Linked DNA regions of Oryzias latipes. The protein of the gene in region 2 purifies or fractionates together with the protein of the main gene of each other region. This does not show direct contact. Links are inferred from orthologs where the notes say so. Each region holds a gene or a part of one and is shown on either strand. Other genes may lie near its edges. The genes, in order: arhgef2, mark2, mtcl1, fuca1 and utrn.

Region 1 (6,561 bases), on a different chromosome or scaffold from region 2:
GAATGTTTTTATGTAAAAGAGTTTTGGTCTTCTTTTCATAATTGGCTTAAATCCAAATATATCATCATTGACCCTATAAATTGGAATACCATTAAAATTAAATTACAATTAATTCACAAAAATCTGGACTTTCTGATTGATGCACTGATTGTAATTTCAAAGCATTTTATTGATACTTGTAAATTCTTAAAGGTGAAACCTCATATTAATGGATTACTCAACCGTCTCAACCTATTCTCTAAATCTTTACATTACATGAATCATAAGAATGCCCAGACATTGTGTAATTTATTTGATCTATTTCAACTTTTGTAATAGATCCTTATTTTTGTTGATTATTTTTTAAGTTAGATTTGTTTTCATATTTGTTTTTTTTGTCTACCTTTGTCTCAGAATTGATATTGTTGTCATTGACAGACATGCCATGATTGTTTGTTGAATATTTGCTTCAATTTTAAAAAAAAGAAAAACTTTTTTGGGTGCATTCCCTGCGAGCGCCACAAGGGGTGCTCGTGGGCGAAGTATTGTTTGTGCCACTCTGCCTTCTTTTCTAAGCATTGCATTTAGACCTAATCTTCTGTCTCCTGACCTTGTGTCTGACTCCGCCTGCCCCGACTCTCGCCTGGATCCTGACTACCCCATCTGTCCTCTGATGATCTCATGGCTGTTATTGACCCTGATTTAGCTTTGTGGACTTTCAACGGAGCTAACAAACCTGCTGCATTTGGATCCAGCTGTCTGCCTGTTTTTAAGAAAGAGTCGTATCATCGGCGAGCTGACTTCCGACAATAGATTTATTAGCGATGGAAATCCTTTGTAATGGACTGGATTTAATGTGGCAACAGAGAAACAGAGCTACAAGGAGAAATAGATGGCGATATAGAAAATCCCTTTCTAATTCCACGTTTTATATCAAACCTAGGTGATGATTCATTCATTCATCATTTATTCATCTTCTTAACCGTTTATTCCCTTTCGGGGTCACGGGGTTGCTGGAGCCTATCCCGGCTACTTGGGCGTACCTACCAACCTAGGTGATGAGCCAGATTTAAGTTTAACAGAGCAGGTGGCTTTGTTGTAAAGAGTTTTAATGACTTTGCAGAAGAAGTCACCAAAACCAAATTTTTGTACAGAACAATCCAGGAAGTTATGTTCTACTGTGTCAAAAGCCTTAAATAAGTCCAGAAACAACATAAAGGAGTCATCTGCAATTAGATGATTAAATAAGTACATCCAAAACTAAAGGAATATTATTGGCGATATGTTGCTAGAGTTACCGTTTGGGTGAAATTGATAGGAGTGTAAACGGGTTTATGAGATCTCAGGTAGAAAAATGTTAAGTCCCTGTGAACACAGATGGGCTCACCTGACAGAAAGTCAGTGGAATATAATCTTTTTATTACACTATAAATACATCTTATCAACAGAATCCAAGAATGAATATTCCATTTTATACATAGATGTCATCCAGTAAAAGATGAAGAAACATGCACAGGAGAACATGCTAACTCCACACAGAAACGTCCCCCTTTGGTGGGACTTGCACCGGGGATCCTCTAGATGTGACTAAAAAAAAACGTTCTCTGCGCACAGATGCGCATGCTCAGTAATGTCCCAGCTTCATTACCAGACCTGTCCGATTCTTTGTGCCTTCACGTGCGGAGGTGTAGGTTCGTCCTCCTCACCTGCAGCCCCCGTTTTTGTCCAGATGGGGCGGAGTCGATGGTGGAGTTCCACGTCACATGCTTTCTGCTGTCCACCCCTGAGTGGGGAGGGGCGGGGTCGCTTTCACCGCTCTGTCAGGGATTTGGTCATGACCAGCATGATCTCTTGGCGCTCTAGAATAGGCTGAAGCAAGTCACGTGACGCAGTGACACGTCTTTCTGAGGATAAACTCCACCCACCCTTTCACCGGCGTAGACGTGTGTAGGAAACGAGCGCTCCTGAGGCATCTGGTGGGCGGGTCCTGCGTGGTTATCAGTGACAGGATTGGCTGAGATAGTGGGGAGCGGGCTGAGCTCTCATTTGTCAGTGTGAAAAGCGGAACTGTCAGTCAGAGCGAAGCCCCGCCCTCCGGCTCTGAGCGCGCGCGGCTCCGGCGGCAGGATCCGCAGAAAGAGTTTGTGAGGCGGCCCCGGTGTGAGCCCGAGCTCGTGAGGATGTCGCGGCTGCTTGAGAACCGGAAACAGGACAGAATGAAGGAGGTCCTCTTAAAGGTGAGGAGGCGCGCGCGCGCGCGGACCTTCACGCTAAGGTTCGCGCGCGCGCGCCTGCTGAGACTCTTAATGATGGGTGGGCTTTTTTTCACATCTGGACTCAAGCAGGAAGACACGCGGAAAGTTTGGAGCTTCAGAACGCGCCCCGTCAAACGCTTCCCTCGTTTTGTGGAAAGAGCGCGAGGTGCGAGCTCATGCGCGTGTGGCGATGTGTTCAGAGAGTTCGCTGTGCGCGTGCCCGTTATTTTACCGGGTATCAACGCCAGTGAGCGCGTGGCGCTTTGTCCTGCAGAAGGAAGCGACGGGGGGAGGGGAGCGCGCGGCTGCGCTTGCGTGCACGCATCTTTCAGGAAGTGTCCAGGAGCGAGGTGGATGTGCACGCGCTCATGGTGAAGAAATAACGGAAACTCCGTCGCCAGGACGACAACGAATGTAAACAAAAACTCTTCCGGCGGTGGAGGAGTCATGGTCGGGGTCGTTTTAGTATGAAATGTGCTTTTTCAAAATAAAACATTAAAGACACAAACTCAAAGTTTGACTTTTAGGCTGGAATCAAAGAAAGAAACATTTCTGTCAACGACAGACGTTTAGTTTGACAAATGAAGCCAAAGACCAGATCTGTGGTGATAATCCAGATTATTATTCTGTCATCACCATTACTGTAAGCAACAGATTACATGGAAGGAGTTTTCAGTGTTTCATCTCCACACGGAGGAAACTAAAACCAACGGTTACTTAAAAAGTAATGTGGTCTTCATCAGTGACAATTGTGATGAAGCGTGAATTTAGGGATTAACTGTGATTGTAGGGATTACCTGTGATTGAAGGGATTACTTGTGAGTCTATAGATTACCTGTGATTGTAGGGATTACCTGTGATTGTAGAGATTACCTGTGATTGTAGAGATTACCTGTGACTCTATAGATTACCTGTGATTGTAGGGATTACCTGTGATTGTAGAGATTACCTGTGACTCTATAGATTACCTGTGATTGTAGGAATTACCCTGTGATTGTAGGGATTACCTGTGACTCTATAGATTACCTGTTATTGTGGGGATTACCTGTGACTCTATAGATTACCTGTGACTCTATAGATTACCTGTGATTGTAGGGATTACCTGTGACTATAGATTACCTGTGACTCTATAGATTACCTGTGATTGTAGGGATTACCTGTGATTGTAGGGATTACCTGTGACTCTATAGATTACCTGTGATTGTAGGGATTACCTGTGACTATAGATTACCTGTGACTCTATAGATTACCTGTGATTGTAGGGATTACCTGTGATTGTAGGGATTACCTGTGACTCCATAGACTACCTGTGATTGTAGGGATTACCTGTGATTGAAGGGATTACTTGTGAGTCTATAGATTACCTGTGATTGTAGGGATTACCTGTGATTGTAGAGATTACCTGTGACTCTATAGATTACCTGTGATTGTAGGAATTACCCTGTGATTGTAGGGATTACCTGTGACTCTATAGATTACCTGTTATTGTGGGGATTACCTGTGACTCTATAGATTACCTGTGACTCTATAGATTACCTGTGATTGTAGGGATTACCTGTGACTATAGATTACCTGTGACTCTATAGATTACCTGTGATTGTAGGGATTACCTGTGATTGTAGGGATTACCTGTGACTCTATAGATTACCTGTGATTGTAGGGATTACCTGTGACTATAGATTACCTGTGACTCTATAGATTACCTGTGATTGTAGGGATTACCTGTGACTCTATAGATTACCTGTGACTCTATAGATTACCTGTGATTGTAAGGATTACCTGTGATTGTAGGGATTACCCGTGATTGTAGGGATTACCTGTGATTGTAGAGATTACCTGTGACTCTATAGATTACCTGTGATTGTAGGGATTACCTGTGACTCTATAGATTACCTGTGACTCTATAGATTACCTGTGATTGTAAGGATTACCTGTGATTGTAGGGATTACCTGTGACTCTATAGATTACCTGTGATTGTAAGGATTACCTGTGAACACTGGCGCTGCAGGTGAGAGGGACAGCAGATGGACAGGTGAACTGACGTCAGAACCCGGTGGTTCTGGTTCTGGTTTCAGTCCGGCTGATGCTTTGGTGGTCGTCACGCGTGTGTGGTTGTACATGTGCGTGTCCAAAGCCGGGTTGGTTTGGTGCAGAGTTCTTCATCCCGAGGAGGATGAGTGCAGCCGGCGCTCACTCCTACGCCCGTCTGAGGCATCCATCCTGTTGCCATGGATACCTGCTGGTTGCATCTAAGTTGTCCTCCCACACACACGTGCACGCCCACGCTCGTGCGCTGACTAAATATGTGGCCAAGCGTTTATGTTTTTACAGCTGACAGAGTTTAGTGAAGGTCCGATCAGAGCAGAAGTTCTGGATCGATCCGGGAGCAGAACCTGAGCCCCTCTGGCCCCTCTGGCCCCCGTGGCGGTGATCCGTCCGTGACCTTCTGTCATGGCGCTCAGACGGATCACACCTCCGCCACAGCAGAAGCTGTGAGGCTGTCAGCGCTCGCCCCACAGGAGGAAGTACGTCCAGAGCGGTTCTGACTTCTCTCAGCCAATCAGAGAGCTCCACACAGGTGACTGTTCACCTGGTGGGCGGCTCAGGACCTGCCGTTTCTGGCGGCCTGTTGGCTCCAGGATCAGGTTGTGGGGTGAAAGCTGATCGTCGTGTGTCTGCGGCCCCGTCCTCAGTGACTCCGCCCCTCCCCTGCAGACAGAGCGCTCTTTCTTCGCCTGCATCACTGAGCTCTTTCTCCATTGATCAGCTGATCGCTGACTGTCACCATTCACCGGGGCTGCTGGGAAGCAGGTTTCCCTGATCCAGAGGGGATCTGGAGGCAGTCTGATGGTGATGGGTACGGGGGGTGGACCGCAGGACAGGTCAAAGACTGGGTCTGAGCGTGCTCAGAGCAGAAATTCAGGAACAGCAGCGCAGCCTCCACTTCCTGCCTCTCCCAGCCAGAAAGCAGAAGTTCAAACAGCCATCTTAGCTTCTACACGACTCACACTTCAGGCTTTCTACTTTCAACCCCAATCAACGGTTCCCAGAGAGTCCAGAGTCCCTGACGCCGGACCGTCCGGCTCCAAAGCCCACCGACCAGCTGCTCTCCATGAGCAGACCTGGTGTTTTAGGCTGCTGGAAGGTCCAGTCTGCCTGAAGTCCTGCAGTTTCAGGAATGAGGCTGCTGTTGTCCTGCTGGTTCTGTTGGGTGGCCGACAGGACTCACACCACATACAAAAGAAGCAACGCAACGGCATTACCCCCAACACAACCACACAACTGCAGCACAACGGAAATGAGGACTGTTTTTTCCTACCGCCGGAAAAAAAAGCCTTTGTTGGCAATGACAGCCTGAAGTCTTGAACTCATGGACATCAGCAGATGCTGGTTTTCTACTTCTGAATGCTCTGCCAGGCCTTTACTGCAGCGGTAAACAGTTGCTGTTTGTTTGTGGGCCTTTCTGTCTGAAGTTTAGTCTTCAACAAGTGAAATGCTGCTCAATGGGGTTAAGATCATGTGACTGACTTGGCCATTCCAGAATATTCCACTTCTTTGCTTTAATAAACTCCTGAGATGCTTTGGCTGTATGTTTTGGGTCGTTGTCCATCTGGATTATGAAACGCCGCCCAATCAGTTTGGCTGCATTCACCTGGATCTGCGCAGACAGGGCTGCATTCACCTGGATCTGCGCAGACAGGGCTGCATTCACCTGGATCTGCGCAGACAGGGCTGCATTCACCTGGATCTGCGCAGACAGGGCTGCATTCACCTGGATCTGTGCAGACAGGGCTGCATTCACCTGGATCTGCGCAGACAGGGCTGTATTCACCTGGATCTGCGCAGACAGGGCTGCATTCACCTGGATCTGCGCAGACAGGGCTGTATTCACCTGGATCTGCGCAGACAGGGCTGCATTCACCTGGATCTGCGCAGACAGGGCTGCATTCACCTGGATCTGCACAGACAGGGCTGTATTCACCTGGATCTGCGCAGACAGGGCTGCATTCAGCTGGATCTGCACAGACAGGGCTGCATTCACCTGGATCTGCGCAGACAGGGCTGCATTCACCTGGATCTGTGCAGACAGGGCTGCATTCACCTGGATCTGCGCAGACAGGGCTGTATTCACCTGGATCTGCGCAGACAGGGCTGCATTCACCTGGATCTGCACAGACAGGGCTGCATTCACCTGGATCTGCGCAGACAGGGCTGCATTCACCTGGATCTGCGCAGACAGGGTTGCATTCACCTGGATCTGTGCAGACAGTCTGTCTCTGAACACCTCAGAATTCATTGGGCTGCTTCTGTCCTGTGTCACGTCAT
Region 2 (6,651 bases):
CATGATCCCCTCAAACACAAACAGAATGATTTTTGACACAAATGATAGAAATGCTATAAATGTTTAAAAGACGGATATCAAACACCCGATGGTGTGTACAGTTGGCCCGGATCAGCAGGGGGAAACATTGACTGCATGTCAATAATAACTGGCTACACTGCCAAATTCATTTGGCACCGTGAAGGGGAAATACAGAGCTTTAAAGCCTGTCGTTTTTCTTTAATGTTCATCCCACAGGACTTGAAATCCTCTGAAATTGGCTCTAATTAAAAGTCTGTTCAACTAGTTATAGAGATAGATGTGTAATATCTTCATTCATCCTGCAGATGGCGACACTTTCACAAAATTTCCGTAGCAACTAAACTATTTTTTGCTTTAAAAAAAAGGGGGGGGGTTACACCATAGAATTGTGATGTTACTGAATTTGCATGCTTTTGATCATTAAAAAAATTGTCTTTAAGTTCAAAAAAGGGTTTGTTGTTCCCTGCAGTGGAATACCTGCCCTTGAGGACTCTCCTTTTATCATGATGGAAGCTGATTTTCCCCTTGATTCATCTGGAAATCCTGGATTCTAGTCTCTCTGACTTCCTCTTTGCTTCCTGATTGTTTTTTTTTGTTTTTTGTTTTTTGCTGGTATCTTCTGTCACTGTGTGAGCATTTAGGATTATGACAGCACATCATCTGACATTACCAGTGTTTTATACATTGACACCCAAATCATCTTAGGCTGTTGCTAAGTAACTTGAACATGTCCATGGCTGCTGCATCTCACACTAGCGGATAACATGGGGGTATATTTACATTTTATTTTTAGTGCTGTGGTAGCAAAGAAGGCCCATAATTTGACTAGACTGCAGCGAGATAGTAGGAGTTCCATGATTCAACTACCTTTCAGCCCCGCCTGTGAATGGTGGATCTTAAAAATAGGCCACACTTTCGTCAAATGTTTTTCTGTGTCACTTCCATTCCTGGTGGAGTACCTTTAGTTATAACTACTTTAAACTAAACATGGCCCCTTAACACTTTAACTTAATAAATAGGACATTTTGTAAAATCCCTCCCCCCTTTTTGTTTTGCCTTGAAACTAAACAGGCTTTGTGAAAAAAGAAGAAACTCAAAGAGTGACAATAAAAAGGGAACGAGGAAGTGACTTTGCTATGCAATGCATCTGGCATTTAAATAATTGTAGGTCTGAAGAGGAAACACTGCATCTTTACGGGGTTCACATTTTACCATGCAGAAATGGGAACTAAGAAGTTAAATATACCTCATTCACATTTAGTAAAAAATGTACTTTTAATAGAGCCTTTAAAACAATAAATATCTAATAAAGTAAAGTCCTAATAAAACTACTCAGCTACAGTAGGTTGTATTTATTTAGTCACTTTTTTGTTTTTAATATTTATCCAGTTTATTCTTGGTGTGCACAAAAACAATGGCACAATATATTTAACCAAAAAAATTCACTACAAATTTAAAAATAAAAAGTATGATGTTATATATTGTTAGAGTAAGAAATACGAAAAATAATTTATTAACAATTTGCCAATCACCTTTTTATAAAAACAAATCACACAGTTTTAATGTAATCCAAACAGGGGATTGTGTAACGAAGAGAATATTCTTTTATCTACAGCTAAATAAAAAAAAACGTTTCAGCTGATTTCACGAGTTAAGATAATTAATTTAGATTTATGGTACTGTTTACTTTTACTTTAGTTACTATTTGAATATTTACTTGATGGTTTATTTAATTTTTAATATAACAGATTGCTTTTGTTTATTTCTTCTACATAATAATAATATGTTTAATATATGATATATTTTAAATATTTATATATTTCGCTTTTATTTTGAAAAATGATTAAAAATTTGATTTAACCCTACATATTTTCTACCCCAGTAACTGTGACGTAAATGGCCGAAAAACTAGACTATAATAATTAGCATATAGAGTCAAACAGCAATAAATTGAATAAATAACAAAAATATGATTCCACGGGGCCTTCAGCCTACATCCACGTCTGCACCTGCCGATCCTAAAACGGAGGGAAGGGCAGTCAGTCAGTCAACGGCAGAGCCGGAAAATACCGAGAAAAGCCGAACGCAGAATTCCCTTCCTCTCTCCACTCAGTCGTGGTGCAAGCAGCCATGTTGCCGTGAGCTTGTTCCGGTATCAGGGCAGGATCGTGCGCACAGACGGCATTCGGGCACAGCTCATCGCCTTCTGCCTCTCCCGCCCCTGACACGCATCTCCGAACAAGAAAATCCAACTTCTCCAATAATGGATTGTACAACCTGATGATTCCGTCTTCGGGTGGCTGGGATAATAGTCGGCGTACCGACTGGACGAGCTGGTATATAGCTACACTGCAGTGCAGCACTGGTGGACGACCTTATTCCGATCACGCAACATAAGAAGGATTTCTGCGGTTTCCGTGGATTTGGAGTTTTTGCGGGTCGCTGTGTGGCAGTCGCCGCCGCTGCGGTCGCCGGGGATCAGCTAACCAGTTAGCCTTGCCTTGTAAAAGGACCGCTAAATTGGCTAGCTACATGGGCTAAAACCGTCAAACCAGTTAGCCAGCGCAACAAATTAATTTGGGGCTCTAAACCTACTATGCTGCCACTTTCCAAATTTCTATCTTTATTTTTCAAAGCCATTGCTTCGGGAATTTAACTTGGAATATTTCAATTGTTTTCCAGACTTGGGAAGGTCGAGACGTGACCGGGAATAACTTTGGCCTGAAAGTTTGTAGACACCGAACCTGGCTTCGAACCTAAGGAAACGTCTGAGCCACAAATAAGTCAGACAGACGGACGACGTAGTTTTGTTTTTGAAACATAAAATATATACATAATTACAAACATATATATGTATATACATGCTTTATGATAATTGGGGCCTTAATCGGACAGTTGGCTACCTTTAGGTTAGCGTGTTAGCCACCTAATTGTACCTTCAACTCAACCGTTGCCCAACTTTTTTTCTTTCCTTTTCAAGATAGCATAGGTGGCTAGCTGGTTCGACCATCAAAAGAAAAAGATATTAAACCCTATAGCACTGTCTGTTCAATTCTGAACACAGTTTGAATGGTTTTAGATACCCGCTAAACTGGAAACCTTTTGATTATCTTGTTTTTGTTCGTTAAGAAACATGGGACTATCAGTCGCTAGTACTAGCTAGTTTCTTCTAGCTAGCCGGCTAACTCCTAGCCTCGGATGAGGACTGGACTTGTTGATTCTCGGGGATATCTGTCATTCTTCTGGCTGGATAACACTGCACATCTGTCGGACGTTTCCCTCTATCATCAACTCCACGGGTGTTAGATGAACAAGAGACACTGACAGATCTTTATATTGCCTCGCTATTTTTTTCTTCCATCTTTTTAGAGCCCCCAAAGTCTTTAAAACATGTCAAGGGTCCCGCTGTTGCAAGTCATTGAAAACTCGACGGGGCAGGTAAGATTGTCATATTATACGAAGCAACATTTATGTTATAAACATTATGCTGTATATGTGGGTAGAGGCCCGACTTGGCCTTCATCGGTGTTTGGTTTTTCTCGGTCGGTCTTTCCTTCGCCACAGCAGTGATTCACCAGTTTGCCTACGCAATTACACTGGATTTCCCACTGCCTTTTAGCCCTTCAGGGCAGATTTGGGAAGCTGTTTAGTCTAAGTCTGATTCTTGGACGTCTTGCTGCTAGCCTTTTTTTTCACTTTAAACTGATCTTCTGACATTGCTTAATATTTAATATTCCAATTTACATAGCTTGAAGCTCTCTCTCCGAATCTGCAGCATTTATTTTTTTAATTGAAGTGTCTGAACAACATGAATTTGAAAATGTATGCTTCTTCTAAACTTTGATAGTGGAATTTTAGATCATATAGAGTAGTGGTGCACATAATTTGTGCTGGATTAAAAAAAAGAGAGAGAGAAATATCAAATTGGACTTCTTTTAGCTTAAAGACCCAAGATGGAAAATGTGTTTTTGGTGTTCTTGTGGCATTTTTCACATGATATAGTAGAAAATAGAGCTTAAAGTTGCATTTCTGAGTATTTATTAATTCAAATTGTTGTGAATCACAAGCAGGTGACAAAACACAGTTTAAAAATGAGCGTATTTGAGATGTAGACACATGTTGGGTGGGCCACAAGCTCCCTCCTTTGCTCCATTTTTGATGAATCCACTTGGAGAGATCCAAATATGTCTTTGTTTTCCTCATCCGCGGTGGCATCTGGCTTAAAAGTGTATAGCTCAAATATTGCTTGCCATCTTTGTTTTACTGGTAATGTTAGGTCGGGAGTGTGTTGGGCTGTAAACTAGCAGGAGAGCAGGAAAACGGAGAGCTCTCAGTTATGGGTGATGTTAAAGGGGGCGGGGTTGCTCTGTGACAATGGTCTTACTCACAATTCTTTGGCAAATTTCTAATGGATTACTGCTGTTCTGCAGAAACTTACCTAGAAAAAAACAGTTTAAAAAACAATTAGGCTTAAATGACATACGGTAATCATATTCAACACTAGGAGCGCTTTTAAAATAGTTTTAAAAATGATCGGTCTTTGAAAGGTTGGCATTTTGAAAAAGTTCATGATTTCAGCTAAGACTCTCCCATTAGTACAGATCCTTGTGCAGTACTACATTCTAAGTTAAACACTAGGTTTTTGTTTCCCCCCCAAATTTATCAAAAAAAGCTACTTGAAAATGGGTATTTTCAGTATTCACAACCATTTTCCTTTAGAGCTGTAATTTGCAATCTGTGTCGGATCTGCACTATTTTCTAAAAAAAAAAGCTTAGGTTTAATCCCCATATGAGTTTTTTCTTTTTAAATGCATGTCCCTCATGCAACAGTTTAGCAAGTAAATAAGTCTAATATGTTCCTAAAGCAGAACATTACACTTCCCATGCTTGGATTTCTTTTTGCTCTCTTCTGGTGAGGATTTTAACTATTTTTTTTTTTTAGCTTGTAGCTTAAAATGATATTGGAACGTTTATAAAGTGTATAAAAATAGATTTAAACCAAATAAAACTTCTAGATGACTAAAAGGAGGGGATCTTTATTAACCTTTTTTTTTTGTGAAACCACAGGTGGATTATCTGCAGATAAATGGATGTCAGGAGTCAGTGTGAGGGCAAAACTGCCACATTTCACAATTGACAGTGTAGAAAAAGAAAGCAGGTTGACGCTCAGCTGATATGAGGGCGTAGTCATAACTCTGAACATACAGGGAGGGACAGATGCTTGTTGGCGCATAGCTGCACCCTTATGGGAAAATAAAAGGTAGGAATGAAACTTTTAACGATGCAATTGTTGGTTTAAAGATTTATTGTACACTCAGAGTATGTTCACAAAACATTTGGATCAAAACTCACTGCAAATAGTTATAACGTACAGATTTATTATTCCAAGTGTCACATTGAGAATAAATCACACCTTTTAGTTCTTCTTTATAGTTTAAAGACTGATATTTGACTGAGAAGTGACAGCAAGTGGACATATGCAATAAACACCAGGTCGTTTCATTTTAGGACAATCATAAAGCAGGAAAGCGTACATATTATATGAACTATATGAAACTTTTTCTTGACAGACTACTGGCTTGACTGGGACTAAATTGAGTTTTTGTCTTGACTTAAAGTTAGACCTCAGCTGGAAAAAGTCCAAATCTTTTTTTTTCTTTTTAGCTTGGTGTAACTCTTCCATATTTAAGTTAAAAACTGAATCCCCTCTTTTACTTCTTTTCTGAAGCAACAACCAAAGTGATTGGTAATATATTAACAGATAAGGTGCTTTGATATGCCAAATTTTTTTTATTGTATTAGATTAAAATCCCTTTAAGATAACATATAAAAAAGAGTTGTGTTGATGTTGTTTCCTCAGTTAACAAGTTAACAGTCCTCTAAACCTGTGGCACTGAAGTAGAGCCATGTGGGCTTTCACAGTGCCAAATTTAAACCTAAACCGTGTCGGTACAAACACCTCCTAACAATTCTGAAGTACAGAAGTGATGAGGAGGGGGTGATTTTGGTTGTTTTTTTTAAACTTTTTTTTACCAGTCAACTGTAAAGTTTAAGTGAAATAGAATCCTCCAACAGGACAATCATGAGAACACTATCAAATATACAACCGAATGAGGGGAAAAAGGGCTCAAAGTCCAGACCTCACCCTGATGGAAATCAGTGTCTTATAACATCTGTTCATTAACAAATGTCTGTTGTCAAGTATTGAACTGAAACAATAAGCTAAAGGAGCAGATTCAGAACTCATGCTGATGACGTGACTCTCATAAAGGAACCAGTTCTACAAGCTGTTTTCCACACACCTCATGCATTAAATTGAAGCTAAATAAGTTACGTAGGGGGAATAAAGCCTTCTTTTTTTAATTATCTTTTTTTATTTGAAGTTAAATTAGTTCCCATCGTGCATCTTTTCCTCAAAACACAGCACCATCCAAACTTGTCTTTACTAGCGGTCTCCTGCTAAAGTTCTTTCCTCAAGACAAAAATAAATCCAACTATTGAAAGACCTTTTATACATGATCAGCATAATGTTTCATCGACAAAAGTGAAATGTGATCTGAACAGAAAGCCGAGTGAACACACAGCAAGTCATCTTTGGCAAACTGGAAAATTCTATTTTAAGTTTGAGAG
Region 3 (6,711 bases), on a different chromosome or scaffold from region 2:
TCCCTGTCAACTAGTCTGGTGAGTCAAAAATGAGATTTTTATGTTGCACTTAAAAGCTTCAAAAAGTTGATTTTGCACGAAACAGGCCCTTTAACAGAAATTAACAGCATAAACATGCACAGCTTTGACTGTTCTGTAAGCACAGGGCCTTTGCTTTCATTCTTTACTTGTATGAAAAGGTTGTTTCTTTTTTTTTGTTTATGACATGAAACAAACATCTTTTTTTGTCGTCTTTCCTTAAAAAAAATGTACTTACTTCAAATCTCTTACCTTTTAAAGATCCTCTCCGAAAACTGTTTTTGTCCTTTTTAAAATGTTCTTGTGGCATTTTTCTGATGACGGAGGACATACGTTTAAGAAAATTAAACTCAAAGTGACGTTTCTGGGTATTTCTTTACTCAAACCGTTGTGAATCAGGAGCAGATGAAAAAAGGCCGTTTGAAAATTAATTTCAAGTTTTCCTGCTCTGCTCCATTCTGATCATCCACCTGCAGACAAACGGATCCACGAACGTCTTTGTGGTCCTGGTCGGAGCTGGAATCTGGATCACAACTGGATCACTCTGATTATTATTACTTTCAGGTTGTGAGGGGCTGTAAGCTAGTGGGAGAGGCTGTAAATGGGTAGATGATAGGAATTGGAGCCGTTGGAGTTGAGTTTTATCCACAACTTGGAGGAGAATGTCTGAACTCCTGCCGCTCTGCAGAAACTATGTTCTAGAAAAACACAACAGGTTTTGGATTTTGGCTGATGATTATAATTAAGACAGCTGGGAACGCTTTGAAAATAGGTCAGAAGACGATCAGAGCGCGACTGTGAGAAGTCATTGTGTGACCTGTTGTGGGAACTGTCGTGCTTGTTGCTTTCGTGTGCTGCACTAAGTTGTGTTTCTGCTCCTGGTTTTGCAGATGCCTCTGGAAGTTCCCAGCAAGGAGCTGTCCAACAGCGTTCTGTCCCTGCAGCCGGAGCCGGAAGTACCGCCAGAACTGCCCCCGCCCCGCATGCGTTGTTGCTGAGTCTCTCCCATCATCCCTCTCTCACAAAGCACATAGAAACCCCAGCGTGCAGTGGACACGTGGCTCCACTGGGGGGCGACACACAGCAGCTGTGTGGATGGTTGAAGGCTGCTGTAAATGATGCATGAACTGTCAAAGCAGCAGTATTATCTTCCTCCGTTTCTCTTCTCAGATATGCAGCATACACTAACCTTTAGGCCTGGAGATTCTTCTTTATCCTAGTACCACCTCACTGTCTACATGTGACCCCGACTACCTCATTGCATCGATGGTTAACCCAGCTGTGCCTGCATGTGCCTTCCACATAGAGAGCTCTCCAGGAAAAGTTGCACATTTTCTAAGGGCAGTAATATCCTTCTCTCTCTTTGTCTCCACATCTTGTCCAAGTTAGCCCGGCGCATCACCTCTGGAAGACAGAAAATAAAGAGAAGTTTACTCTCTGGGTTCACAGCTGAACTACTTTATATACAGATGAACATTCTTTAAGTCATTTGGGTTGAAGGAAGCGAAACACACCGTAAACATGCCGTGGTGCCATGATGACCCACAGAAAAAGGGCCTTGTTTTTATTTTAGTGGTGATTCTAACTTATTCCGTTTTCTAGTATCTGTAACTGCTATATATATATTTTTTCCGAGGATGTCATATTTGACACTAGAGTCTCTCAGTGAAGGGGGAGAACAGTTGTAGTTTAGCACCCTGAAGATCAGTGCAGCCTCAGCAGAGAGTGAGGCTCAGAGTGAACTGGAGACGCAAAGAGAGATGGGTAATGTAGGCTGGAGCAAGTAACCCTTCACTACCTGAGGATGTGGAGAGGAAAATCAAGTGCACATCTCTTTTTTCTTTATTGTGACTAATATTTCTGTGGTGTTTGTGTTTTATTGCTAAACTCCAAGTTTCCTTTTTTGGGGCAAAGTGCAAGGCGGTTTTGTTCAGTGTTCGACTCAGGAAACTTGAAAAAAGGCCTGATTGTTTTTTTTTTTTTTTTTTTTTTTTTGAGGACGGGCTCAATCAAGTCCGAGTGTTGAATCCAACGAAAGGTCTGGTTTCTGGGACGTGGCAGCATTTCGTATTCAAGTGCCAGATTTCATACAAATACACCCCCCACCCACCCACCCACCCTCCTCCATGCAGTCCCCCAAAAAACTGCAGAAACCAGATCAGCTCTGTTGAGTCATGTCTGATAAAAAGACGCTCCTGCAGAGTCTTTGAATGAAATGTTTTTTTTCTGACGGCTGCAATGTTAAATCCCTGCTTCAAATGTTCCTTTACGGAGCGGACAGGAATTTCCTTCACGGTTTTCTCCCAACTGAGTCCATGTCTGACGTTTATTTAAACCCACTACATGGACATATATGTGCTATACTTCCTCCCGTGCTCTTAGAAAACAATAATCCTTCATATGTTTGTTGAGCTGTGGCATTTAGGGGGAGATATGATGTTAATGTAAATTTGATGGCCTAAAAAGACTTTTTTTATTGACGTTTTATGCTCAATTTTAGCTTTTAAAGGTTTAAAAAGGCACCATGTCCATCCAAGAAAAGGTTTTGTACCAAAATAAAATCCTTACATTTCTATGATTGGACTCAGTCAAAAGGGTTTTTGTAGAAAATCTAGAATTTTTGTTTTCAGAACAGGACCTGTCTGTCTTTTTGCTACTAACCCCTAAGTGTAACAACCAAGCCTAATACTACATCTGACATGCTTCGATCTGTATTCTTTAAAGGCGCAGACTTTACTTTGTATTAAACCTGTCTTCATTTTTTTTGTAATTCATGATGGAAAAAGCAGGTTTGTTGTATTTATAACTTTTTGGCATTCTGGAACTAATGAGATGCTATTAAAGATGTCTATATTTATTGCTAGACCGGAGTCTTTCATTTGCTGTGGGAATCTTCATCAACCGTGACGCGCGCTCTGAGAGGAAAGGCGTGCTCCGTTCTGACATGCGCAGCAGCGCGTGCGTGTCAAACCTGGTCCCGGAGTAAACAAGGGGTGTGCTGGCGGGGCCAGGGCGCATGCGCGCCGTAGGAGCTGACGAGCGTCGAGCCTCGCGCCGCAGTGATTGCAGAGCTTCACGGGAGCAGGAGGACGCGCGGGGATGGAGAGCCGGCCTGCGGAGGAGGAGGAGGAGCGCCGCCGCGGATCCGTCTGACCAACTTTGGCTCCTTCAGGCAGCGGATGCCACCTGTCACTCACCGGGTCTGCGCCGATTATCCGCGTTTACCGGCAGCCTTTCCTTCGAAACGGGACTACGGGGTCACAGCAGCCGGGATGGAGTGAAGGAGACCTCGCAGACCGCAGGATGCGCACCCCGGTGAGGAGGGGAGCAGCGAAACCGGGCAGCTTTTCTGCGGGGCCGCGAATTGATCGCTTCCTCCTCCACTCCGCTCCCGCCGGTGTATAATGGAGAGCTCCAATGGCTCCGGTGGCGACACAAAAGCGCACAGCCAGCAGCCGGAGAAGAAGAGACCGAACCGAGCGCCGTCCCCGGCCAGACCCTTCCTGAAGGATGTGCCGTCCCGCTCCGCCAAACCACCTGCCATCGGACCCAAATCCCCCAAACTCTCCAAGCAGCAGCAGCAGCAGTGCGCCCCAGTGTCCTTAGCCCACCAGAACCGCAGCTCCAGACGCAGCACAGCTGGGTCCAAGGAGAAACCAGCCACAGTCAAAAGTAGCACCAGGTCTGCTGCCGCGAAAAAGCCCGCAAAGCCGCCCCAGCACGCAGCAACCGAGCCCAAAGCCGCCAGCACCAAGCCGGACACCGCTGGCAGTCCGGTCCTCACCAAAGGCAAGAAGGGGAAATTACCCGCGGGTTCTCCGGGCCCGTTCAGCCATGGATCCCCGATCCGGGTCCCCACAGGGGCCCGTCTGGCCCGGGTCACTCAGACCGACAGCAGCTCCGACTTGTCGGATTGCCCGTCCGAACCGCTGTCGGACGAGCAGAGGGCGGCACCTGCCGCAAGTAGCGACGCGGAGTCCGGTACCGGCTCCAGTGACCGGGACCAACCGGGAGCGCCAGCCGCAGCGCCGCCGCGCACGAGCGACTCTCCCGCCGCCAAGGGAAGCGCGCGCGCACAGGACAGCAAACCGGAGAGCGGCTCCGCCGGCGCACAGGTCAAACAGCCCGCAGCCAAGGAGGTGACCGAGGAGGATCTGCAGCGGGAGATCGAGGATCTGAGATCTGAAAACGACTACCTCAAGGTGCGTGGCTGCCGTCTCTCAACAGGTTCACGCAGTCAGTCAGTCAGGTGCATTCAACCCCTAAAGTTAGAACGGACTGTTTTTATTGTCCTTCAGACAAACTCCTGAAAATGTCAAAACAAGCATCAGTTTAATCCTGAGGGATTCCCCGCAGATTCGACTGTTTCCTCTCAAAATCAAACTTTTCACATCTGACAGTCTGCTGGCTCCGTGGATGTGGGAGGGTATTAATAGTTTGATGTTCTGGGTTCAGATATGAACGCATCTTTATTCGTCAGGAATCTGTAAACTCGCGCTCTGCGTTTCTGGTTCTTTTCCCATCTTTCAACTCTAAAGTTGAGGAGAGTTTATCAAAGACCAAACCTCCTTTTTGCCAGATGGGACGTGAATGTATTTGCATAAGACTGATGAGAGTATTATTTCAAACGTGAGCTCGCTCGAACGCGCGCGCGCATGTCTGCTGGGCCTTCCTCCCTGGTTTGGTGGAGACACAAGAGACTTAATCAGCTTTGCTGGCTCTGCTGTGATGGCTTTATCCCGCAGGAGTTGATCACATTCACATGTCCCATGTGTGGGGGGCTCAAACACCCTCCTGCCTGGTTGTCAGTCTGCCAGCTGGGTCTCTTAGGTCCTTCTGCTCCCCCGTGCAGCCCCCCCTGCCCACAGAAAACAAGGCCACCCCCTACTGCTGCCCTCTCTTTGAATGCAAAAACGTGTTTGCCATCCTTCCTGCAGATTTTGTTTCTTAAAAAAGAATAAAGTGAAGATGGATTTATTCTTAGTTTGTCTTTTAGGTTTCACTGTAGAAAAACGTTGATTTGATAACCTGCAGGTGATTATCACCTCACCTATTATCTGTGTGCAGGCAGATAATCAATTAACTGATGAGTCAGTCCAGTTCTTTCAGAGCAGCGCTAGACTAAAATGTACAGCATATAAAGCTGGTTGTTTTTGAAAACCTGTTTAAAATAAATAATTCAAATGTTTGAACTGACAGTTATGACAGCAGAAAATCCTTTTAAATGTTTCCCTTTGATCAATAAGCTCTACTTTATCATAAGATATTTTTGCATTAAATAATTTGAACTGCTTTTGCAATCCAGAATCAACAAACTCTAGCTTTTCTCAACAGTTTAGCAGGTTTCACAGCAAAAAAACGAAAGCAGTTTTTTTTCCTCCAAATTATTGAAAATGTTAATATTTGTTAATTTAATTTAGAACACACTTTTCCTTTCAAAGGAAGCCTAAAAGCGATCTCTTATTTCCCTCAAATAAATAAGAAAAAACAGATAAAGCTGTTTCACAAATTAGAAAAACATTTCTGTCCTGTGTCTTTATAAAGACCCACTCCAATGAGGAAAATGGTGTTTTTGGTGTTTTTAACATGTTCTTGGAGCATTTCTCTCATGATGGATGACATATATGAATAAATATATAAATAGCATTCCTTGGTATTTCTTTATTCAAATTGTGAATCAGGAACCAATGAAAAAAATGCAGTTTAAAAAGATTGAAGCTGTGACATTGAAGCTTCAAGTCTTCCTGCTCTGCTCCATTCTGATCATCCACCAACAGATCATAAACAGATCCATGAACGTCTTTGTTTTCCTCGTCCCAGCTGTAATCTGGATCAGAGCTCTATGGCTACAATATTGCCCACCGTTTTTCTTGCAGCACTAATGTTAGGTTGGGGTGTAAGGATTGTAAGCTAGCGGGAGAGCATGTACACAGATGGATGATGGGAAATGAGGGCAGACTTAGTCCTGTCCACAACTCAGAGGGGAGTTTCTGATGAACTCCTGCCGCTCTGCGGAAAATAACACTTTTTAAAAGTTATTTTTGCCTAAAACAGCATGCTCATAATTAAAAGACCACTGGGAACGCTTTGACAACAGATAAAAAGATGATGGGAGTGGGACTTCAACGTCCAGCATGCAGTGACGCCTAGTGGCACAATCTGTAATATGGAACCAACTGAATATTTTCCATCTTCTACATCAGTGTTTCCCATCCCTGGTCCCTGGGGCAGACTATCCTGCATGGTTTCCATGTTGCCCCGCCCATGCACACCTGATTCATCATCGGGCTCTGCAGAAGCCGGACAATGACGGTCATCAGAGGCTGGTGTGTCTGAGCAGAGCTGGATTGAAAAAATGCAGGACAGTGTTCCCTGAGGACCAGGGTCGGGAAAAACTGTTCTACACAAAGTACCAGTTGACTAAAACTAGCGTAGACCCCAAGTATGCATTCAGCCAAAACTTATATAGTTTGATATAATCAGTTGTGGCCCTGCGACAGACTGGCCACCTGTCCAGGGTGTCCCCTGCCTTCACCCACGAGTGGCTAGGATAGGCTCCAGCAGCACCGTGACCCCGAAAGGGAAAAAAACGGGTTTACAAGATGAATGGATCAAAAATTAGTTATAGCATCTGCTAAGTGGAGATGAGGACACTATAAAGAGTGGTAAAGAAGCAGCTGTGAGCCAGCACCC
Region 4 (6,045 bases), on a different chromosome or scaffold from region 2:
AACCGTGTCTCTGACCAGAGCGTTTAATGAAGAGAAACCATATTTTAACGGGGGGGTATTTAGAATTTATAATTTGGTGTTTGCATTTTTATGTTGGTTTAAAATTAAATGACAACAAATTTTTCCTCTGAATTTTTTACTCAAATGTCTTGTTTTTATAGTGAATATTGTGATATAGTTGTATTAAAAACTGGAGAAATGAAAACTGTTTTCACTTCACAACGTCTTCTGAAAAGGCTTAAAAGTTTCGATCCAAACGTTTCTAGAGTGTCGGGATCATCTTTTCTTACCAGACTGGGACAGTGGTGTTCTCCATCTGGACCCTCCAGGGTTTGGAGGCGTAGATGGCCTCTCCGTTGACCTGGAGCCAGGCTCCAACGCCCCGAAGCCTCTCCTCAAACACGGCAGGGATCATTCCATCAGCCGTGGGACCCACATTGAGAAGGTAGTTGCCCCCAAGAGCAACTGTGCTGACCAGATCCTGCAACCAAACGGAGCGGACTCATGAGTCGATGACCAAATCAAGAAATTCTCTTTTTTTGTAGTTATAAAGTCGAGTGTTTCCAGGATGCAGGGTTTAGTCAATCGATTTGACTTGAAGGTTAAATAGTCTCAAACCTCAATAATGGTGGGCAGGTCCATGAGTTCCATGATCCTCATATTCCGTCTGTAACCCCAGGACAGAGTGTCCACAGACGTGCATTTCTCCCACTTGTGCTCTGGCAGCTGGCCTGGGGAGTACTTGTCTTGGCAGTTGTAATAGCCGCCGTGTTTGCAGGCACAGCCAGCCCCCCACCGGTCATTGGTCACCACGGTGTCCTAGGATTAGGGGGAGGAGGAGTCATGATCAATGCTCCTTGCAGCAGTCACTCCACTCACCTTCTACATCGTATAGAAACCTACTTTTACAGGGCTGTCATTGTAGAGCCAGGCCAGGAACTCGGCGGAGTTCCAGTAGCTGTCTGGCGCCTCCCAGTCTCCATCGGACCAGATCAGCTCCGGTCGATACCTGTAAGACACAGAAACCGAGCGTTTAATGAAGGGACTGCTTCAAAACTTCACTGTTGATCTTGGACTGATGGAGGACACACCTGACAACCATATTGTAGAGCTCTGGAAGCAACTTCTGCTTCACAAAGTCCTGCGTCCTGAAGCCATTCTTCTTGTCGTTCAGGTACAGGGGGTGGAACCACTCATATAAGGAGTTGTAGAGTCCATAGTGCAGGGACCTGAACAAAAATGTGTAAATCCTCACAAGAATGCAAGAACACTTTTGGTATCAGGAAAAGTTGTAAAAAAAAAACCTTGGAGAACTGGAAACAAATGAAAATCTTCACACCAGAGGTTTTAGCTCTAAGGCAGAAGTGTCTGACTCCAAGTCTCAGCATCCAGCATCCTGCTGATTTTTAGGAAAATCTGCTGCCGATTACCTGGATAACGTGAGATTTGCAGAGGAGCTTTAATTGCAGGTTAGTTGGAAAACGTGAAAAACACCGACCACCGAGCCTTGGAGTTTGACATCTGTGCTCTCAGGTCACTTATACCATGGTCCGGTTGAATACTCGATTCTGATTGGCTGCTGGGTGTGCATTAAAACATGATAACCGCACGGTGAAAAAAGAAGTTCCGGTCACCTAGCTTAAATGTTTTGTATCACTGCGCCGGCTTCTTTAAAACAACCTTTTGCTTCATCATTTGGACAAGAACAAGCGGTAAGAGGTGAACTTTCTCTCTGAACTGATGCTTTATTTAACACATCAGAATGATCAGCATTTATATATTTGAACTAATATATATATTAGTTCATGCACCGCATCACGTAACAAATAGTCCGCTTTTTGGGAGAAAAGCGATCCAAATCGGGAAAAAAAACAAGAATTAAGGACTAAAAACTGGTTAATATGTATTGCTTTTGTAAGTGACCATGATATAAGCGGGTTAATGGCCTTCGAAGTGTGCGTTATTACTCCGCTTCGCATCGGACGGTTCAGGCTTCCATGGCGTGCATTAAAAAGTGATAACGCCACTTCGTCAGCCATTAAACCTTACATGACTTCTGTGATGACCCACCTGTTGCGCACGGCCTCTCCCAGCTCTCCCACTAAATCCCTGTGAGGACCGGAATCAACAGAGTTCCAGTTCCAGGAGTTCACAGACTTCCAGTTTGTAAATCCTTCATGATGTTTGGCAGTGAGGACGACGTACCTGACAAAGCAAAAGGAAGATGAAGCAAAGGAACCGGGTCTGCACATAAACCAATGGAACTTCAACTGTGTCTTTCATTCACAGATAACAGATGCATTCTAGTCTGTTCGGATCATTTTTCCTCTTTGATTCTGCAATGTAAAGCAGAAAAGAAGTGATGCAACAGTACAGATCTCTGTGTAGATGATATGGACTTAAAAGGAGAAAGACTGAACCTTGTAGAAGGTGGATAACTTTTGCAAAGACCACGAATTGATATAAAATCCCTAAAAAGGGTCTCCTGTCACAGCACCAGACTGGAATGCAGGCCCAGTTCTTCCCATATATTTTTGTCACCTGCATAACAGGTGATTATGTCTCAGGCCTGTTGCCATGGCGATGACAGTAATTCTCCAGTTTGATCATCTGGACAGAGGCTTCTGACAGTATAGTGCAGGGGTCTGCTACCCGAGGCTCTGGAGCCACATGTGGGTCTTTAGTTTAAGAAAAATACAAACTTTCTCTTTTTGGAAAGCAACTTTAAAGTTAGAAAGTGAGTAAGCAGCTTAAAAAAAGCAAATTAACGAATCACTCATTGACTGTATAAGAGAACTGGACTGAGTGACTGTGACATCACCCGTAGAAACCAGTACTTCCGGTTCCAACCAAAGTCTGTTCAGTCACCATTTTTCAGCGATACGGACGCCTCCATTTGGAGCCGGACAAAGTCAGGCAGCAGTGATTGGTCTAAATTGCTGTTTCTATAGCACCTACTGTCGCCAATCAGGACTGAGCTTGTCAGAAGTACACAACCCTTCCACTGAAAGCTGGCTCAGGAGAATCTGTCAATCAAATTTTCAACGTGAGGGTCAGTTGACAGCACATGCTTTTACTGAAGGATGTGATTGGTCAGTTTATAACTTGCAATAAAGGAATAAAAAAAAATCAGACAGCCGTAAGACAGAGTGAAGATAATGAAGCAATTAAAACAAAACAAAAATCCATCATAATATAAGTCTTTATGCAGACAATGTATTGCTCTTGCTCCTAAACTCTGAATTCTCAATTTCCAGAGCAGTGACAGATATTGACACTTCATCAATCTCTGAGTACACTATTAACTGGATCAGTGCCATTACCACTCAATGGTAATGTGGAGCCAACTTATAACATTAAAGACGGGGAACATTAAATATCTAGGTGTCACATACCCCGTCTATCAGAGTTAGTGCAATTAAACCTTATAGTAGGCCTGCACAACAAATTACAAATTTATCATCACGATATCAAGCTGCGCAATACACATTTCACAGAAGTTGGCAAAAATTGCTATAAATGGTAACCTTAAATTTGTTAAAACAATCTTATGGCAGTTTGAAGTATTTACCGAATCAAATAAATACCTTTATGTATTTGACAAACAGATGGACCCCTTTTATGTTGGGTTCTCGCCTCCTATGTAGACGTGGGTCATTTGGAGTACAATCTAAGTTATGTTGACTCTTATTTTAATTAAACCATTGTATTTGAATGTAAATGATGTATTTTGTTGTTTTGCCATTTGTTCATGTACCGTCATCGCAATTTTGATCACTATTATCGCATACTGTGCAGTCCTACCATTACTTAAAAATGTACAGGACAACCTAAAACGATGGGTCAACCTGCCGATATCACTCATGGGCAGAACAGCTTCAGTTAAAATGAAAATACTACCAAAAATTAACTAACTTTTTTCTATTATCCCAATACTACCAGCTGCAACGTGGTTTAAATCATTGGATACATCCATATCCACGTCTTTAATGGAAAAATAAGCCATTGGTTTAAAAACTTTGAAAAATGCTAAATCTCATGGTGGTTTAGTTTCCAAACTACCTCAACGTCTTCCTTGCTCATAGACTACAGTATATTTTAAAATGGTAGAATAATAACCCAACAGCCCACTCAGCGATGGATGTAGAAGAGTCGTGAAGAGATCAGATCTGCCATTCATTAGCAGTTCCATTAAGCGGTATGTTTGCTTTAAATTTATTCATATTAAAGATACGTTACCAGCATGGTGGGAACTCTTTAAAACGACTTATTCTTATTCTACACGGAGTTAACGGACTCCTTTTGGAACGATCCTGACATCCTGATAAGAGAATTGTTAACTTCTCCACCTGGCAGAACACACATGTTAAACCTAAAGCTAAGTGTTGTAGTCCTATTTTATATTTTTATTTCTAGAACGGTGCTAGACCATGCAGACACTTAAAAGTCAAGAGTAAAATTTTAAAATCGAATCTAAAATAAACGGGAAACCAGTGTAGAGCGTGGTATGGGGACAATGTGATCACACCGTCTGGTCTCCGTTAGTAAACGGGCAGCTGAATTCTGGACCAGCTGAAGATGGCGGAGGAGGGACTGGTCCATCCCAGAATAAAGTAGTCCAGTCTAGAGAAGATGAAGACATGAACAACCCTTTCCAGGGTGTCATGAGGGAGATATGGCTTTACTGTATTGATAAATCTGAGATGATAAAAGCTAGACTGGACTACTGCACTAACATATATCAAATTTAAAACTACTATCTGAAATAACCCCAAGATTCCTGATAGAAGACAGGTTAGAGTACAATGATCCACTGGGACTACTGCATTCTGTCAAAAGGTCAGTTTTCTCAAACAGAAGTACTTCCGTTGTTTTTTTTTTTCATTTAAGCAGAGGAAGTTTAGGTTCATCCAAGTTTTAACTTCCTCTAAACACTTCTGTAGGTTCTCTACACACTGGGCTCCACCAGATTTTATTGGTAAATAAATCTGTATGTCATCTGCATAACAGTGATAGAACACATTATACTGATCAAAGATGGCACCCAGTGGGGAAGCAGGTATAACGGAAATAACATAGGACCTAAGATTGAGCCTTGAGGTACCCCATGTCTAAGTGGGGCCTTTGTGGACGAGAATTGTCCAAGTTGGACAGAAAAACTCCTATCAGATAAGTAAGACTCAAATCATTTAAGTGCTGTGCCTCTCACGCCAACAGACTGCTCTAATCGATAAAGTAAAACATCATGATCAGCTGTGTCAAATGCAGCAAGTAGATCCAGAAGGGTCTCCCCGCAGAGGCTCCAGAATCCACAGTTAAAAGCAAATCGTTGCACACCCTGAGTAGAGCCATTTCCGTTCTGTGACGTGATCTAAAACCAGACTGGAATTTATCAAAAATGCCATAAAGCTCTAGATCAGGGGTGGGCAAACTACGGCCCGCGGGATGGATCCGGCCCGCCTCCATGTTTGGTCCGGCCCACTGAATAATATCAGAGACCTGTTTTTTATTTTTATCTGGCCACACGATCAAGACCCACATAGAATGTAACATTTTATTCCCCCCTTTTGCAGTCTGGGCTCCAACCTGAAACCCTCTAAAATCCCTGTTAAACAGAACAGAAGACAGTCTTCCCTTTCTACGTCGCAGTTCATTTTCATACTTTTAGAGCAATTATGCTGTTCTTTTTCAACAGCGCACCCTGTTGTGTCCTGATTGGCTGGAGACCTTGTCAATCAATCTCCTCCGTACCATGTCTCCTGTGCAGAAACGCGGAGTTCTTCAGATCAGAAATCTTTGATCGATCAGATCTTTGTTTTCATTCTAAGATCCTGGACCTAATTTCTATGAAGGTTTTGAAAATTTAGACGAGAGAAAAGGGTGAAAATGTTCATGTCTGTCGGAGAAAAGTCTGTAATCATTCGCCCTGGATTTCACCGATCCCGGGTTATTTTTAGAATGTCACCCCTGCCATAAATGAGGGAACTCTGTACTGGTGAAAAGGTAATGCAGATAAATGCGTAGCTGCAGCAGAAGACATAGAAA
Region 5 (6,045 bases), on a different chromosome or scaffold from region 2:
AACAAAGGCTGTAAAAGCTCAGTTTCTCACCATACAACCAGCGAGGTGGGTCTGGATTTTTTCTGGTTCCAGGTCTTTTACATCCAGGACATGCAGCTCGGTTTTGGCCCCCTCCAGAACCCTCCTACAGTCCAGCATGCGCTGCTCAAAGTTAGCAGGCTTCTGGAACAGCTGGTACTTGGTGGAGATCTCCCTCAGTTTTCTCTGTAGAAAGAGTCACAAAAATGAACAAAGTTGCAGTTTTGCAGGACTTAAATGTCAGACGCTATGACATTTAGGTTTGGGTTGCAGCATGAATTATTAACAGAAATAATCCCACAAATTACTTTCTTTTTTTAATAAAGTGACTTTTTTTTTATAGAAAAGAATATTTGCAAAAGATTAAAAATAGTTTTAGGGAAAGGCATTTCCAAAGACAGCCCAGCAGGAGGCAGCATTACCTGCAGCTGATCCAACATGGTGCCACCGCGAGCTGCTTTGGCATCTGCCGCGGGAGGAGGCAGGTTGAACACATTTCTCCTCTTCATGTCTTCCATCGTCACTTCAAGTTCTGCAATTTCAGCGGCGATGGACTAAAGGAATGAGAAATATGTTAAAAGAGACATCTTGTCCAAATTAATGGTTAGTATTGATGCAGAAAATAACCTACAGTGATCTCAAAACTGTATTCCATTTACCACATAGTAGTATTCTTCATTCTTTTGGGATTAGAAACCCACTATAACCATCCAACAAAATCCATGCCTCCTAAAAGTAGGTATTTGTGAGCATGTGTGTTGCACCTGTGCCTCCTGAGGGAGCTGGATGGCGTCTACGCGATCGGTAAGATAGGAGGTGAGAGTGTGGTCCAGCTGGCTTACAGACTCCTGGAAATTTTGGAGCGCCTGTTGATTCTCCTTCAATGTCTGCAGCTGCTGCTCGAGGCTCGATTGTCGGTCCACTGCCTGAAGGGCAAAAACAAAAGGAGCAAGGCAGGGCTGCGAGTCAGTCACAAGTCCTTACAAAAAAAATTAACTTTTACTGAAATGGAATATTGTGACAGCGAAAATGTGACGAAACATTTTCAAAAAACAAATTGAGTCAATTAAGTTCTGGTCAAGAGAAGAGAAAACTGTTCTGACCTGATGGTGGAGATGCTCAAAGCGCGAGTTGAAAGCTTCGAGTTTTTCGCTAATGAGTTCATCAAGAATGCCGCCGTCTACGAGCGTCTGACCCAGCTCTCTGATTTGTGTCCGGTTGTCCCCAGGGTGGCGGAGCACATCCTCCAAAGACTAGAAGGAGAAACGGGCAGACAGGTCAGACTAGACTCACAACACAACAATAGTTTTTTTTTTTTATGAATGTAAAAAAAGGAGAAAATGTTGTCCTTCAAAAAATATGATTAAAATATGATTAACGACAAAAAAAACTGCAGACTGAGCAAAAGCCCTGAAAAAAGGATGAAGAGTGGAGGCAGAAACTGCCGCACTGTCAATAAAAAAAAAAAACAAGACAAGCCAAAAAAAAAAAAGAGGAGGAGTGAACTGAGCGAGCTGTGGAGCGACACCTCATATTTGGATCCAACACTGTTTTTGTAGCTTCACTTTTTCGCCCCAAGTATTGGTGGAAAGAAGAAAAGATGGGGGGGGGGGACCAATGGGACGCAGACAAGAAGGTGAAACTCTGTCTGCGAGGGACTTTGGTCTCCTTCATCGCTATGTGAGGCTGCAGATGCCCCTCTGTGATGAAAATGAGTCTGACAGACGCGCCCCAGGCAGTCTACAGATTTAGCAATGGAGCACGTCAAAGCAGAAGACAAATCAAAGACAAATTAGGTCATTAACATTTAGTAACAGCATTTAAGCATCCAGTTGTGGAAAACTCGTCATGCATGTTTAGTCTGAAGTTTCTGCGAACCCAAACGACTTTTAAAATCTTCCTTTCTTCCTTTTCCAATTTTATTAATCCTATCAGTTTTGCTTTTTAGCCTGAAACGGGTCTCTTCATGAAAATTATTTGTCTACATTTTTAAGGGGTTTTGAAAATGTTTCTGCTTTTAACCAAAATCAAAACGCCTGTGTTTGTAGGACATAGCTTCTGCAGAGCAGCAGTGGTTCATAAGCAAATGGCTTCTGAGTTGTGGGAGGGGAACACTGGTGCGGAGCAACACCGCCCCTCTTCCCGTTGCTGAGAGCTTGGAGCAGAGAGCTTGTGACCTGCCCGGCGTATTTTCTACCTCATAAATAAACTCTTTTTCAAACTGTGCCTGCTCTACTGTATAGTTTCGGGGAGGATAATAACACTGTGTCCCAATTCTGGCTTACACACCGTTTTTGCTCCGCTATGGGGTACCCTTTAGGTTTCCTTTCTTTTGAATGTACAGTGTGTCCTTATTTTAATGTGACTTCTTAAAGGATTGTGATCTCAAAAACTCTTTTTCAAACTGCATTTTTTTTCATCTGCTCCTGATTGATTTGAATAAAGTTACTCAGAAATTCAATTTTAAGTTTAGTTTTCTTTAAATAAGTCCTCCATCATCAGAAAAATGCCACAAGAACATGTTAAAACAACAAAAACATAATTTTCACGAAGAAGGTTAACCTACGTTCACACCGCCCTTGGTAATGAGCACCCTAGCGGCTACTTCCAATGAAATGTCTATGTAAACAGGCATAATTGCTCATTTCAAGCTTCTGCGTTCAAAACTCTTGCATTTACACATGGCTATGCAAGTTTCTATGACCCTTTTCTCTACGTACACAACGCGTGGCAATTTAACACTCGTTGCCAGATATTCCAGGTTGAACTTTGACCTATCAGTGACTCTGATTTGGTAATGACATGGTGAAACTCACCAAATCAGAGCGTAGCTGGTTTCTCTGGCGAACCCAGACAAGGACAGACCAAGGCCAATCTCCTGACATGATTGTCATCCATATCCCCCAATGCAAAGGTGCTAACAATGATCCGAACTGTTTCAGTTTTGTCTCTAAATTGCGCGATTTGCACCGCTGGCTGCGACTTTTCACACCAAGCCTCTTGTGTTGTAAGTGGCGGACATGCACTAGTAAACAGTAAAAGCCCCTCTTTGCTCGTGTAGTGTGAAAGCGTGTTTAGCGCGTTCTTTGACGAGCGTCACAAAGTCGGTGTGTAGGCTAGCGAAAGCGTTTTAACAGAAAGCTCTCAGTAACAAAGAGGGGAAGGGAGGGCGGGGTTGCTCCGCGCCACAGGTCCAACTCACAACTCAGAGCTGCATTTCTAATGAACTACTCTCTGCAGAAGCAGCATCCTTAAAAAGCTTTTACAATAGATCAAGGATGATCGCAGTGGGACTCTAAATAAATTTCTGTACAGATAAAAATTGCTTTCAAGCATGGAGCATCCGTCAAAGTTTAGGATGTAATTCCCACTTTCATAGAAACGGCTGTCCCAAAAGCAGGATTTGGGGGGGGGGGGGACATACCTCCAGAGCTTCATTGACAGCCTCTGTGCTCTCTGGTAGGTTTTCAGTTGCATGTAATTTTTCCTCCAAAGAGGTGAGCCAGCTCTGCTCCGTGTCCAGAAACTGAAGCAGCTCCATCCAGCAGGACCACACCTCCTGAAGAGCACGTCCCAACGTGAGCAGGAATGTTATCCACAAACATTTTTGAAGCCTCAACACATAGAAAAACTTTAAAATCCACAAGAATAGAGATTTTAAAAAAAACCTCCAAGGTGTGGCATTTGCTCTTGAGACGGTCACAGAGCTTGTTATAGTTGGCCAGGACCCCTTCTAGCTCAAAGGTCAGCTCTTGTCCAAAGCCATCACCAAGGTGAGCTGTTCGGGACACCAGCGTGTTGATGTTGTCCTTCAGGATCTTCACCTTCACCTCTTTCTGTAGCACATCCTCTTTAGCTCTCTATGGTGTCCCACCAGAGGACAGCAGAAAGGGGTTAAACAAAAACCAAAGGCTTAACTCTTCAAAATTTGACACGACCAATCCCACCTTCATCTCTTCCAGAGACACTTCCAGGTCCTCTGGACTTTTGTACTCAAAATCTCTCATCAGAAACTCTTCATCAACTTGAGCCATCCATTCCTGCATCTCTCCCAGGTCTTTCTTCAGGTTGACCTGCTTCTCCTGACTCTCTGCAGTATGTTCCTGATGACTGAGGAGCTGAAGGAAAACACAAAAATGCACCTTATAGATAGACATAACAAAAAAAAAAAGTTCCAGCGCTGACACCACCTTAAATCAAGCTGCAATTAACAGATACTAACACGAGTCTGAAGAGGGAACTACGCAGTTTCTGCTATGACTAAATTATGCAACACAAATTTCAAAAGGAGACTCAACCTCTCCCATTTAAAGACAAAGTAAAATAAAAAGAAAAAGTTCTCACCTGTGCGCTCAGCTCCGCCCACCTTTCCTGACACTCTTCCAACCTATCCTGCCCCCACTTTGCAAGTCCTGGTACTGCAATCGCCTGCACAGCTTTCACATTTTCTTCCATCTGCTTCAATGAACGCTCCACTGACTCCATCTCATTCACATACTCCTAGTTTGAAACAGAAGAAGCTTCTGATATTGCTATGGACTACAAGAACCAGAAAAACACTCCAAAAATGTATACTTTAGGCAAAAGGTGTAATTATTAAAACATTAATTCTTAAAAGCAGATTTTGATTAAAAAAAAAACTCCTTTTCTGCTTCAAAAACTAAAAGAGATTCAAAAATGCTTTAATGTTCTTACTTTGCACCTGCTCAGCTCTTCATGGAGATTCTCTCCATCTCCCAAACCTGTGGTGTCCCGAAACAACAACTCCTGAACGGCATCAAACCAGCACTGCACTTGCTCCAAACACACCTAAGTGCAAGAAGTATTGTAGGAGTTTTAAAATGTAAGGAGAATCTACATATTTTTCTAACACAACACATTACATTTATTGGCATTAAATGTGGAAACGTTTCATTTTTTGTGGGGTAAATTACAATGGTGTTACCCTAAAAGAATAAATTGCAAAAATACAAACAGATAAATAATTCGCAAAATGCAAATACAACTATATTTAAACTTAGTTTCCCCTTTATTAATTTAAAAGAAAAAATAGTTTCTATATGTATGCCTTTTTCATTTTTTTTAAAAAAGAAAAGGTGAAAAATAATCATCAGTCACTACCATTTTAGTGTTTCAAGCTGCCCCACCTGATTGTCCTTCATGCACCCCAAAATGCAATGCAACGTGCCATGCTCCTCACGTGCCCTGGAGGAGAGCTGACTCCATTTTTGTAGTTCTCCTGAATCAGACGCTTGTTGCGTTTGCTCAATCTGCAGGCACAAGCTCTAAAGGGCAAACCACAGACAATTTAGGATCACCCAAAAAATAGAACTTTCGTTAAAAAGGTAAAGAAAAAAAAAGAAAAATGTGAGCATCGAGTAAAAAAATTGTTTTTAGGTTTTCATGAGTACTCTTTATATTTATTGAACTGATTGGGCTTTCTAACACTGTAAAGTTAATTTTTGTTCTGGAACATGAAGCCAGACCATTACCAGCATCCCCCCGGACTAATAAAGTGATCTCAGACACGCCATCATAGTATTGTCCTGTATGTTGTGGTATCAGGCAGCTTGGCAGCTTTTCAGAATCCACAGAGAAATTTGAGGAGTTGCATGGACGGGCACGCTGCCCAGAATGTGCCTCCCCACCCGGCCCTGTGCCCCTGTCTGTCATGAAAACGAGGCTGCAGACTGATTCACATTCCAGCACAGAGCTGAGGAGGTGAGCAAACACACAAAACACCACATACTTTCAGGACTGCATGCAAAAACACAGAAAGTGTTGTAAACACACACAATGCACCCTTCTCCCATGGTAACAAAGTGACATGTTGTTTACTGGGGACAAACAGTGAAGTGATATCATGAAAAGCAAAAAAAATCCCTAAAAAATAGCCTGACAGTGCAGTTCTGTCAGACATTAGATATGATCAAAGGTGTCTCTGTTGTCTAAAAAAGTCCAATGTACTTCAAACCTTCCTCTTCTCAAGTTAAAATGGTCTGTTTGGACAAATTAAAATCAATTGTA

The links.
Region 1: the proteins of mark2 (region 2) and arhgef2 purify together in Homo sapiens (affinity purification with western blotting; 3 studies listed by BioGRID and IntAct, with this or other methods). This does not show direct contact. The link is inferred for Oryzias latipes from reciprocal best matches to the Homo sapiens genes MARK2 and ARHGEF2.
Region 3: the proteins of mark2 (region 2) and mtcl1 purify together in Homo sapiens (affinity purification with mass spectrometry; 5 studies listed by BioGRID and IntAct, with this or other methods). This does not show direct contact. The link is inferred for Oryzias latipes from reciprocal best matches to the Homo sapiens genes MARK2 and MTCL1.
Region 4: the proteins of mark2 (region 2) and fuca1 purify together in Homo sapiens (affinity purification with mass spectrometry; 3 studies listed by BioGRID and IntAct, counting the BioPlex papers as one, with this or other methods). This does not show direct contact. The link is inferred for Oryzias latipes from reciprocal best matches to the Homo sapiens genes MARK2 and FUCA1.
Region 5: the proteins of mark2 (region 2) and utrn purify together in Homo sapiens (affinity purification with mass spectrometry; 4 studies listed by BioGRID and IntAct, with this or other methods). This does not show direct contact. The link is inferred for Oryzias latipes from reciprocal best matches to the Homo sapiens genes MARK2 and UTRN.

Annotation. Positions count from the first base shown.
Region 1 is NC_019874.2:32,693,872-32,700,432, forward strand, and holds the start of arhgef2 (rho guanine nucleotide exchange factor 2), read left to right. Parts: upstream 1-2,060; 5' UTR 2,061-2,159; coding exon 2,160-2,216; intron 2,217-6,561. UniProt on the Homo sapiens protein: Activates Rho-GTPases by promoting the exchange of GDP for GTP.
Region 2 is NC_019876.2:13,071,602-13,078,252, reverse strand, and holds the start of mark2 (serine/threonine-protein kinase MARK2), read left to right. Parts: upstream 1-2,121; 5' UTR 2,122-2,357; exon of another isoform or gene 2,358-3,390; 5' UTR 3,391-3,411; coding exon 3,412-3,459; intron 3,460-6,651. UniProt on the Homo sapiens protein: Serine/threonine-protein kinase. Involved in cell polarity and microtubule dynamics regulation. Phosphorylates CRTC2/TORC2, DCX, HDAC7, KIF13B, MAP2, MAP4 and RAB11FIP2. Phosphorylates the microtubule-associated protein MAPT/TAU.
Region 3 is NC_019875.2:4,636,061-4,642,771, forward strand, and holds the start of mtcl1 (microtubule cross-linking factor 1), read left to right. Parts: upstream 1-2,985; 5' UTR 2,986-3,422; coding exon 3,423-4,220; intron 4,221-6,711. Other genes in the region: rab12 (ras-related protein Rab-12), read left to right, coding at 909-1,016. UniProt on the Homo sapiens protein: Microtubule-associated factor involved in the late phase of epithelial polarization and microtubule dynamics regulation.
Region 4 is NC_019869.2:24,115,719-24,121,763, reverse strand, and holds part of fuca1 (tissue alpha-L-fucosidase), read right to left. Parts: intron 2,206-6,045; coding exon 2,071-2,205; intron 1,230-2,070; coding exon 1,092-1,229; intron 1,010-1,091; coding exon 904-1,009; intron 820-903; coding exon 619-819; intron 482-618; coding exon 291-481; intron 1-290. UniProt on the Homo sapiens protein: Alpha-L-fucosidase is responsible for hydrolyzing the alpha-1,6-linked fucose joined to the reducing-end N-acetylglucosamine of the carbohydrate moieties of glycoproteins.
Region 5 is NC_019882.2:8,816,089-8,822,133, forward strand, and holds part of utrn (utrophin), read right to left. Parts: intron 5,304-6,045; coding exon 5,166-5,303; intron 4,828-5,165; coding exon 4,714-4,827; intron 4,519-4,713; coding exon 4,363-4,518; intron 4,137-4,362; coding exon 3,966-4,136; intron 3,879-3,965; coding exon 3,687-3,878; intron 3,578-3,686; coding exon 3,443-3,577; intron 1,272-3,442; coding exon 1,122-1,271; intron 945-1,121; coding exon 783-944; intron 573-782; coding exon 441-572; intron 205-440; coding exon 31-204; intron 1-30.